Linked DNA regions of Arabidopsis thaliana. The protein of the gene in region 2 interacts with the protein of the main gene of each other region in a pairwise test. Each region holds a gene or a part of one and is shown on either strand. Other genes may lie near its edges.

What was found.
Region 1: the proteins of SYP61 (region 2) and PIP3 interact in a two-hybrid assay, tested with the Arabidopsis thaliana proteins (one study listed by BioGRID).

Annotation. Positions count from the first base shown.
Region 1 is NC_003075.7:16,706,303-16,710,930, forward strand, and holds PIP3 (plasma membrane intrinsic protein 3), read left to right. Parts: upstream 1-2,058; 5' UTR 2,059-2,369; coding exon 2,370-2,655; intron 2,656-2,747; coding exon 2,748-3,043; intron 3,044-3,302; coding exon 3,303-3,443; intron 3,444-3,536; coding exon 3,537-3,656; 3' UTR 3,657-4,105; downstream 4,106-4,628. UniProt on the Arabidopsis thaliana protein: Water channel required to facilitate the transport of water across cell membrane. May be involved in the osmoregulation in plants under high osmotic stress such as under a high salt condition.
Region 2 is NC_003070.9:10,013,755-10,018,630, reverse strand, and holds SYP61 (syntaxin of plants 61), read right to left. Parts: upstream 2,776-4,876; 5' UTR 2,606-2,775; intron 2,225-2,605; 5' UTR 2,199-2,224; coding exon 2,145-2,198; intron 2,065-2,144; coding exon 1,951-2,064; intron 1,881-1,950; exon of another isoform or gene 1,796-1,880; coding exon of another isoform or gene 1,763-1,795; coding exon 1,649-1,762; intron 1,553-1,648; coding exon 1,365-1,552; intron 1,220-1,364; coding exon 1,129-1,219; intron 1,044-1,128; coding exon 978-1,043; intron 900-977; coding exon 789-899; 3' UTR 584-788; downstream 1-583. Other genes in the region: GRX480 (Thioredoxin superfamily protein), read left to right, coding at 4,584-4,876. UniProt on the Arabidopsis thaliana protein: Vesicle trafficking protein that functions in the secretory pathway; the fusion of phospholipid vesicles containing SYP61 and VTI12 is triggered by YKT61 and YKT62. Together with VTI12, required for membrane fusion.

The DNA.
Region 1 (4,628 bases), on a different chromosome or scaffold from region 2:
GGTCAGTCCCTTTCTCTGAACTATATAATATACTCAATTTAATTTAACTAGACTAGTTGAAATTGTTGAAGTTCGCTAACCATAATGTACAAAAATCCTTCATGTTCCGGGAAAATAAATCATAATTAACGATAGGTATAGTAGCAGCAAAGATAAGATGGTGATCCATTCTCACATGCAATGATTCGGATGAAGTTTAGCCAAATATTATTATTATCCAACCTCTTCTGCACCACGAAGAGACTTTATTTACGTAATATATTTGATGGTCCAGTACTACTATCCAGACATTATTGTTTTCGTTTCCAAATCATAAAACTTGAAATCTTATTGATTACTACTAGGGTCGATATCTCACTATTTGGAAACCGCAGGCTCCCTATTTATTAGTTTCAAACTCAATTGAAATGAAAATGTGTATTGGTGGTTTTAATGTTTGCACTGCGTAATGTTGCCTGAACTGTATATTTAATAAATTTACCACAACTTAGCAGATATAATTTTGTTATACGAAATCGTATAGTCTTCTTCATGGACAAAGAGGAAGGCAATCATCATTTTCTATGATTGCTCATCGACCTGGCATTTCCATTACCAAAGGCAGCATAATATCAAATCAAATATTTCTTTGTCGTACTTTACTTGAATTAATGATATTATCGTGGGTCGACTTAGGAAGTAAAGTTACTTCCATTTCATATATCTAAATCACATTTGCGTAAAATTTAAGTATTACACAAAGTGATAAAGTAAATTAAGTAATAATTGGCTAGGGATATTAACAAAATAAATAATTTTGATTAGGGCTACGAGGATAAGGACAAACGTCGTATTAACGTATAAAAAATGTGAAAGGAAAAGAGTAAACTAAGCTTTAGATATTAACACTCATTACGGGATTCCTAAATTGCCAGCACTTCGGATTATCCGTCAGTCCACTATTTATGCTAGTTTTTCTTTTCCTTGTGAGCTTGCACTATGGATTTTTCTTTATGCAATTCTCAATCTAAATGACCATTAAACTTTAGAAAAAAATGACCATTAAGTTTTAATGTACATTTGTATCAACTTTCTAATATGCCACGTCCGTATTGCTATATACAAACATAACCATTCAAATTAATATGGCTCTCTCAAAGGAAAAAAATAAAAGGAATAGCAAATGAGTAGATAAATTTTTTGATCAAAAAGAATAAGATGCACTAGTATTAGTATATACTCCCATACATCATTTAACCAAATTTTAAAATTGATTATAATCCATAAATAGTCTTCAAATTTCAACGACAAACACATTAATGTGAGTATAAATTAGCATAGACTACTATATAGTTTATATGCGGGGTGAATGTTTGTCTATACAAGTTTCGTCAAAAAAACGGCACCAACCATAATTAATAGACTCTTATCTTTTGCTGGTATATGAACTCTTTTTAAAAATTGCCGCGAATATACCTTCTTCGTAGATTATTAATCTTTTTCATGTACAGTTGCCTTTAGCAGATTATCATATGTTACAAACATTTGACCTAATTTGAAAAAATGTTACCAAAAAAGATTTGGAAAAAAAGACAAAGATATTGAGATAACCGTTGAAGAGAGTTTGGGATGACAGGCTGACGAGAAAACCATACACCTCATTTCTATCATTAACCCTCACATGGCTTATCTGTACATCTGGACCCCACCACCTTCTACTTTTATCTCCCATTTTTTTTTTCAAATTATTACTACCCAAAAAAATATTCAACAAACCTACAAAAACACATGTCTTATTTTTATTTATTTAAACATTTGTGTATTTATCCCATTGTTCCATATTTATTAGTAGGAAAAATATTCACATTTTACAGAACTGCAAAAGATTTGGCCATGCAAATTATACCCCACTTTGATTGCTATTTTATACACTATATCATACAGTACAAGAACAAAAATTTGATTGGGCCAGTAATAATGCATATAACTATTGATGTTAGCAAGAGAAAAAAATGCATTAAAACACAAATTTGACTATTATTTTGCAGGAACATTCGTGATAATTTTGACTATTATTTTGTCAGTAATAATGCATATTAATCGTATGTGATTTTAACTAAAACTGGAAAGTTCCAAGGAACATTTAGTAGTTTATATTTTTAGTACTAAGTTAGTTTAGAGGGTTATTAACTATTTAATCGTACTAATAATGATTATAAGCAGAATTATGTAGACTATACAAATAGTACGTAATACCGAAAGTACCCTTGGTTTATCCCTGGCATTACAAGGGTTTCCTTTTTCCCCTTTAAAATGGCAGAAGAGATACACTGTCGTCGTCACACAGCACCACAAACTCCATAGCTAGCTAGAGAGTAAAAAGAACAAAGATGTCGAAAGAAGTGAGCGAAGAAGGCAAAACCCACCATGGAAAAGACTACGTGGATCCTCCACCAGCTCCTCTTCTCGACATGGGTGAGCTCAAATCCTGGTCTTTCTACAGAGCTCTCATCGCTGAGTTCATCGCTACACTCCTCTTCCTCTACGTCACCGTCGCTACTGTCATCGGCCACAAGAAGCAAACCGGTCCTTGTGACGGCGTTGGTTTACTTGGTATCGCTTGGGCTTTCGGTGGTATGATCTTCGTCCTCGTCTACTGCACCGCCGGTATCTCTGGTAAGTTTGAATCCCACCAAAAACCCTAACTTTTACTTGTTTGGTTCGTTGGTTTTATTGTTAATCTCGTTCTTGTTCTCGTCTTCTCGTAGGTGGTCACATTAACCCAGCTGTGACTTTCGGTCTGTTCTTGGCCCGTAAGGTCTCTTTGGTGCGAGCTCTTGGTTACATGATAGCTCAGTGTCTTGGAGCCATTTGTGGTGTGGGTTTCGTGAAAGCTTTCATGAAAACTCCTTACAACACTCTTGGTGGAGGAGCTAACACCGTAGCTGACGGTTACAGCAAAGGAACTGCTCTCGGAGCTGAGATTATTGGAACTTTCGTCCTTGTTTACACCGTTTTCTCTGCAACTGACCCTAAGAGAAGCGCTCGTGACTCTCACATCCCCGTAAGTCTCAAAAAGCTTGAATCTTTAATTGAGTTTTTTGACAAAGTTACTATGAATCTGATTGGGTCTTTGTAGATTATGATAAAGGTTGAATCTTTTTAGGATTTAATGATAAAGTTAGTATGAATATAAAATGGGTCTTTGTAGATTCTGATGAAGTTTGAATCTTTTTATGGTGTAATGACAAAGTATGTATGAATCTCTAAGGATCTTTACTTTGTAGATTCTGATAAAGTGTGGTGGGTTTTCTTGTGATTAGGTTTTGGCTCCACTTCCAATTGGATTTGCTGTGTTCATGGTGCATTTGGCTACTATCCCCATTACTGGAACTGGTATCAACCCAGCTAGAAGCTTTGGTGCTGCTGTTATCTACAACAACGAGAAGGCGTGGGATGACCAAGTAAGTGTTTAGTTATTATCTGGATTAGGTATTCACTAATCATTCATGACTTCATGTCCTAATGTTGGTTCTGTGTTGGTTTTGGTTTTGCAGTGGATCTTTTGGGTTGGTCCGTTCTTGGGAGCACTAGCTGCAGCAGCTTACCACCAATACATATTGAGAGCTTCAGCAATTAAGGCCTTGGGCTCGTTCCGAAGCAACGCAACCAATTAATGAAGGCTTTTTTTAAGATAATGTCAAGAAACAACTTTAAGATTTATATGCTTTAATTATTATTTGTTGTTCTTTTGTGTGTAATGAGAGAGATGGTGGATTGATGTTAATTATGAAATGGCTCAGTGACTTCTATTTCCTTCTTTAGTTTTTGATTGTCTTTGTTAATCGTTTGCCTTTGGTTTCTCTTAGTAGTTACAAATTCATGTTTTCTCTTCATGTCAGTTCGTAAATATCGAACAATCCAAGTTGGAATTTATTATTCACAACATCACAAGATCCTTCAATGTACATTATTACAGCTAGCGTCCAATTAAGATACAAATTTCGGCTGAACATGGTGTGTGGGTCTTTTGGTTATTATCCTCGTGTCGACTCTAAACCATCGGGTCATATGTAAACCATTCATTAATTGACACGTGTTGAGAAGGAAATATTGGATTCCATTTGCTATGTGGTTACATTTTCGTTAGTTGACAAGAAAACAACTATTTTCGCTCCATTTGCTTTAGTCTTTTTTTTCGATGTTACTTGTTAGAATTAGTATTGTTTTTAAAAGAAAAAGAACTCGTGCGAGTACCTTTTGTTGTTTTTGTGAAAGGATAAAAAGGAGTGGAGCCAATAGAGTTGTAACAACCAGACAAGAAACGAGACATTAAACCCATTTTTTCCACCGCACTCTAACTTTTCTTAGGCCGCGTGTCGCGTAGCTCATGTGTTTATCACATGGGTAACTTTTCTGCGTCTAGTTACCGTATTGTTATTGTTATTGTTATATAGTAGACTCCTTTTGGCTAAGAGTCTTTAGACCCACCCAAACGCATATGTGTTTGGATGTATTAGGAAATTATTTGTATAAAAGACTTTACCAACTTAATTGAATAATGCATTTGATTAAAGAGAGAAAAAAAAAAGAAAATGCTCATGGAAGCAATAAGCACTAAATTTGTCTATGGGATGTAAATTGCGACA
Region 2 (4,876 bases):
TTGAAATCGATCCAGCCCTTATATCCCAGCCGACGGATTCTTTTATGGGCTTACGTTGGGCCTTATCAGCCCAAATCTCTTCTTATTAATGATACAATGACTCATTATTCATTTTACAATCTAAAGCGTTGTCATTTTGCACACAAAAAAAAAAAAAAAGCGTTGTCATAAGAGTTTAACGATAGTATCAGAAAGATTCAACAATAAATCAGTTATTCAACTAATTATATCCGGCAATGATTCTTCCGGAGATCATGCTTATAGTGAGTGAGTCCTTTGGATTCGTTGATGATCGATCAGTTGAAGCATTTGCCTTCAATTATGAACTATTAAGGGTGGTCTTTTGAGCAGTAGCCGGGTTTGTTGCCACAAATTGTTAGATTTTTGCCGGTTCTTTATTTTTGGAGTCATTTTGTTGTCTTTAGATGTTTCTTATGGAGTCTGCTTTCGGAATTTTTTTTTCGTTACAGAACTGAAGAAGCAAAGGAGACATTGCGGAAACTTAAAGAAGGCATAATAAAGGTGTATTCTATAGGGAAGTTTTTGACGGCTTACTTTTGATGAGACTGATTTGTATTGTTTAAGGAACTTAGCCATGGGATCAAGCTATGAAAGTATTTAATTTCAGGTTCTCTAGAGATCACACAGCCAAAGTTCAAAATTATATGTGGGATTGGATAGGAGAAGAAAAAACAGACAACCTTATGTAAATATTCCATTTGTTTCACCACAAACATGATAATGTAAGACATTAAACTCCCATCTATAAGATCCCGCGGCTCTGTTCTTTAGGTCAAGAAGACAAGAACGAATAGGATGATGAACAAGACGAGCAAGAAACATATCATCATCATTTGACCTTTTGCTCCAGCTTTCTTCATTACCATTCCCACTTTTTTCTGTCACAATACCATTTTCATTCTTTCAGTTTTTACTTTCTGCAATCAAACCAGCAACAAGACCTTTAAGGGGTTTACCTGAACAAATTCAAGACGGTTCTTTGTGCTGTCCATCTCCGTATCCAATTCATCTATTATTCTCTCCTGAACACACACAATAACAAAAACTTGATGTTTCTGATCTCTACTGATACGTCCTACTGTTAAATCATCTTCCCATATTACTAACCTGTGCAACGAGTTCGTCGTGTATAGTGAGCCCCACTCCTCCAATTCTCTGTACACTTTTACTAAGCTCATCCAATTCTTCGTCTTGTTGCCTGAAGTGAAAAAAATGATGTTAAGTTATGGCACTACTCTGTTTTTGAACAACACTATGCTACAATCTTCAGTCTAAAATCGTTATAAACTCAGAAGCAAAGAAAAGACTGCAAAACAATGTAGAACACACAGAGAGAGCTTTACTTTATCAACAGCATTTGCCTATCTGATTCTGACTGTACAAAACCATCATCGTCTCTCCCTCCATACTGATCATATCTACTTGCTTCACCCGAGTTTGGCATTCTCATTAGTTCTCTACGCACTTCACTTGCATGACCTGCTCCAGAACTAACCTTTCCAGCTAAAACACCAGACTTCACATTCCGCACCTATAAAAAAAATCGTAATCGTCTTGCACAAGTCAACTAACAACAAATTTATGCCACTATGTAAAGCAGTATTCATAACAAACTTAGAGAACATACCTGTGTCCTAGCATTACTAGTCCATCTCCTCCGTTTTTCAAGCTCAGCTTCATCAATGCCATACCATGAAGGATCTTTTGCTGCAACAGTAATCGCTTTTTCCAGCTCATCTACCTTCCTATCAGTAAAAACAGCTTCAATAGCCATGAAAGGACTCGAATATATTCAATTGGAATTTCTAATCATGTAAATAAGGGCCAATACATTCCTACAAGATCCATTTACAAACACAAATCCTATTCCACACCAGCTAAATTATATATAAAGACGAGATTAATAGAACCGTGACTAAATACGAGTACCTGCCACTCAATGCTTCCACAAGTAGCAACAAGCTCCTTCGCCACATGTGCTTGATCACCCATGTCGGGAGAGATACGCTCCCATTTGTGGAATGTAGATTGCAACTTATCAATCTAACAAAGCATCATCCATCAATCACTGTACTTCAAAATCTAAACAAAAAAACATCTCTGGCAATTTCTGAACAACTTACAGAATCCTGAATCTCTTCTTTAACAATGTAGAATGGATCTTGAGCTGAAGACATCCCGAAATCAACAAAATTTTGCTACCCTATACACCAAATAACACAGCTGATTAAGCTATAGAAACAAGTTCTTATGCAAAGTTAGTTACAGAAACAGAATTTTGAAATTTCATCTCATTGGCAGGGATTGTTCTGGAGATGCGCAAATTCTACGATTGCAAAATTAGAGTTCCTAAGTCACAATGATCAAACTCGACAAAACTATTAGATCCAGAGAAATTCCGATTAAATCCTGGCTAATCTAGGGTTAGAATTTTATTCAATAGAACCGGAACGGCTTTATCAATCTATGTGCTTTAAGATCGACACAAACATTGGAGAAAAAGCTTGCGTTTAGAGACGATAACGACAAGGATCAATGCGAAAGGAGAATTGATGTAAGAGGAAAATTGAAGAAGCTTCCTTACCTGTGAAGGAATTAATCGAAAGGTGACGCGACGGAGAACAAACGACGGTGAAGTAAAAGAGATTCCGGCGTGAGATTCGTCTCTCTTACATAGCAAAACGCATCACCTGCGGTTGGCTTTGAGATTCGCTGAAAGTTTATTTTTGGGCTACTGGAGAATCTTATAAAGCCCAATAAGAGACCACAGAGCCCAATAAGTTATTACAAATCTACGACAGTATTAATAAAGACCATTTTCTACGTTACAAAATTTTGATTATTAACTGTTATAGAAAATGGTTATATTGAAACGCATATTTGGCATTTGTTATAGAAGAAAGAAACCACTCTTGCTGAGTTTTTGTTGGTTAAAGCGTGACCTAAGTCTGTCTATTGAGAAGATTCATAGTCCATGAAAAATCCGATGCTACTATAAATGATTGTTTACTAATCCTAGAAACCAAAAACAAATAATTGTTTTCTCAATTCAAAAATTGTATGGTAAAATTTTAGGGTTTACACATTTAAGATTTTAAGTGTTATAGATTTCCGGTGCACAGAAGAATGGTATATATTGTGAGTTTGTGATTAGTTTTGTTATGCAAACTTCTCACGTTAGGCAACTGTAAATATAATATCTCCAACAAAGCGGTCATGCAATTTGTTTTGTTGAAAATTTGTATATTTTACTAGCGGTCATGAATTTTTAAATCCCCCACACTCTATTTTTTAAAATATTTTTAACGTTTTGGGACCATGATGGATGTTGAACTTTCATTTCAGGATTTGGTGGAACGATAAAATTGGAAAGGCTTTGGAGTTTGGAACCTGAAGAACTTATAAAGTTAAAGGATGACACGTGACTTTAATAAAGAAATGCAATTCCCATAATCATATAATAGTCCAAATTTAGGAAGAAATGGGTGACATGAGTTTTAAAGAAGAAAGACGTCATGATTCCATTAAAACAAACCAAATTAGTTGGTGGCTTGGTGCTGACGTCTACCGACTTTTCCACCGTCCATCCTTCGACGATGGTTCTTTCTAAATGACCTTCTCAGTTTTTTCCTGTCATGCGTATTATTATTATTAGTTAATAAGGCTCCACTACTACTCGGAAAGTCCGAGTACAAATAATATGACAATAATGTCAAACTTATTCTTAGTATTGGTTTAAAAGAAGGATTCAACAAGAGTACTTAATCACGTCTCATAATTACCACTTTCATCCAAACATGGTCATTACTATATGACATGATCGTGTTACATTAATTTGGAAAGTAGTATATGTCTTTTTCCTAAAAGTTTATGTTTAGATTTTTGATCACTAAGAATATAATGTCATATATATTATTAACCTTTACACCTAAATGTTATATTAATTACTTGAATGATAAAACGGAAAATATCGAAAGTTTAGGCTAGGTCTCTCTAGCATCTCTAGTGTATTTATTTAGCAATCCCAAAACAAAATTGTGTTTTCTACAATTTTAGTATTAGATTACCAAAATTGTTGTATATAGTCTGGTGATTCCGTTTTGATGGTCGAGATCGAAAGAAGCAAGCATCCACTATGTGGTCGTCACATGCGAATATTTCTAAGTATACAACCATCTATCGAAAGTTTCGAAACAACCCAAATATAATAGTAATAAATTCTGAGAATTCTCCTATTTTTTATTGATATGAAAAAAGCAGTAAAATATTATGTAAAGTAGAGAGGAACCAAAATTAAAACGTGCAGATTTATTAAAAGAATAAAGTGGGATCCAAAAAGTCAGCGTGAAACATGTGATACGATATAACGACACGGTCCTATGACTAAGTCCACTCCAATCCAGTGACGTAAACAGCACCATCACCCATAGCTTCCTGTGACGCACATCCTTACGTAACCATCGTTGACGCTAGACTTTCCTCTCTGATCTCTCTTTCTTCATGTATATATAACAAAACCTTCCTTTCCTAATTGGTATCTATCTTTAAAAACATACTTGAAAATGCAAGGAACGATTTCTTGTGCAAGAAATTATAACATGACGACAACCGTCGGGGAATCTCTGCGGCCGCTATCGCTTAAAACGCAGGGAAACGGCGAGAGAGTTCGGATGGTGGTGGAGGAGAACGCGGTGATTGTGATTGGACGGAGAGGATGTTGCATGTGTCATGTGGTGAGGAGGCTGCTTCTTGGACTTGGAGTGAATCCGGCGGTCCTTGAGATTGATGAGGAGAGGGAAGATGAAGTTTTGAGTGAGTTGGAGAATATTGGAGTTCAAGGCGGCGGAGGTACGGT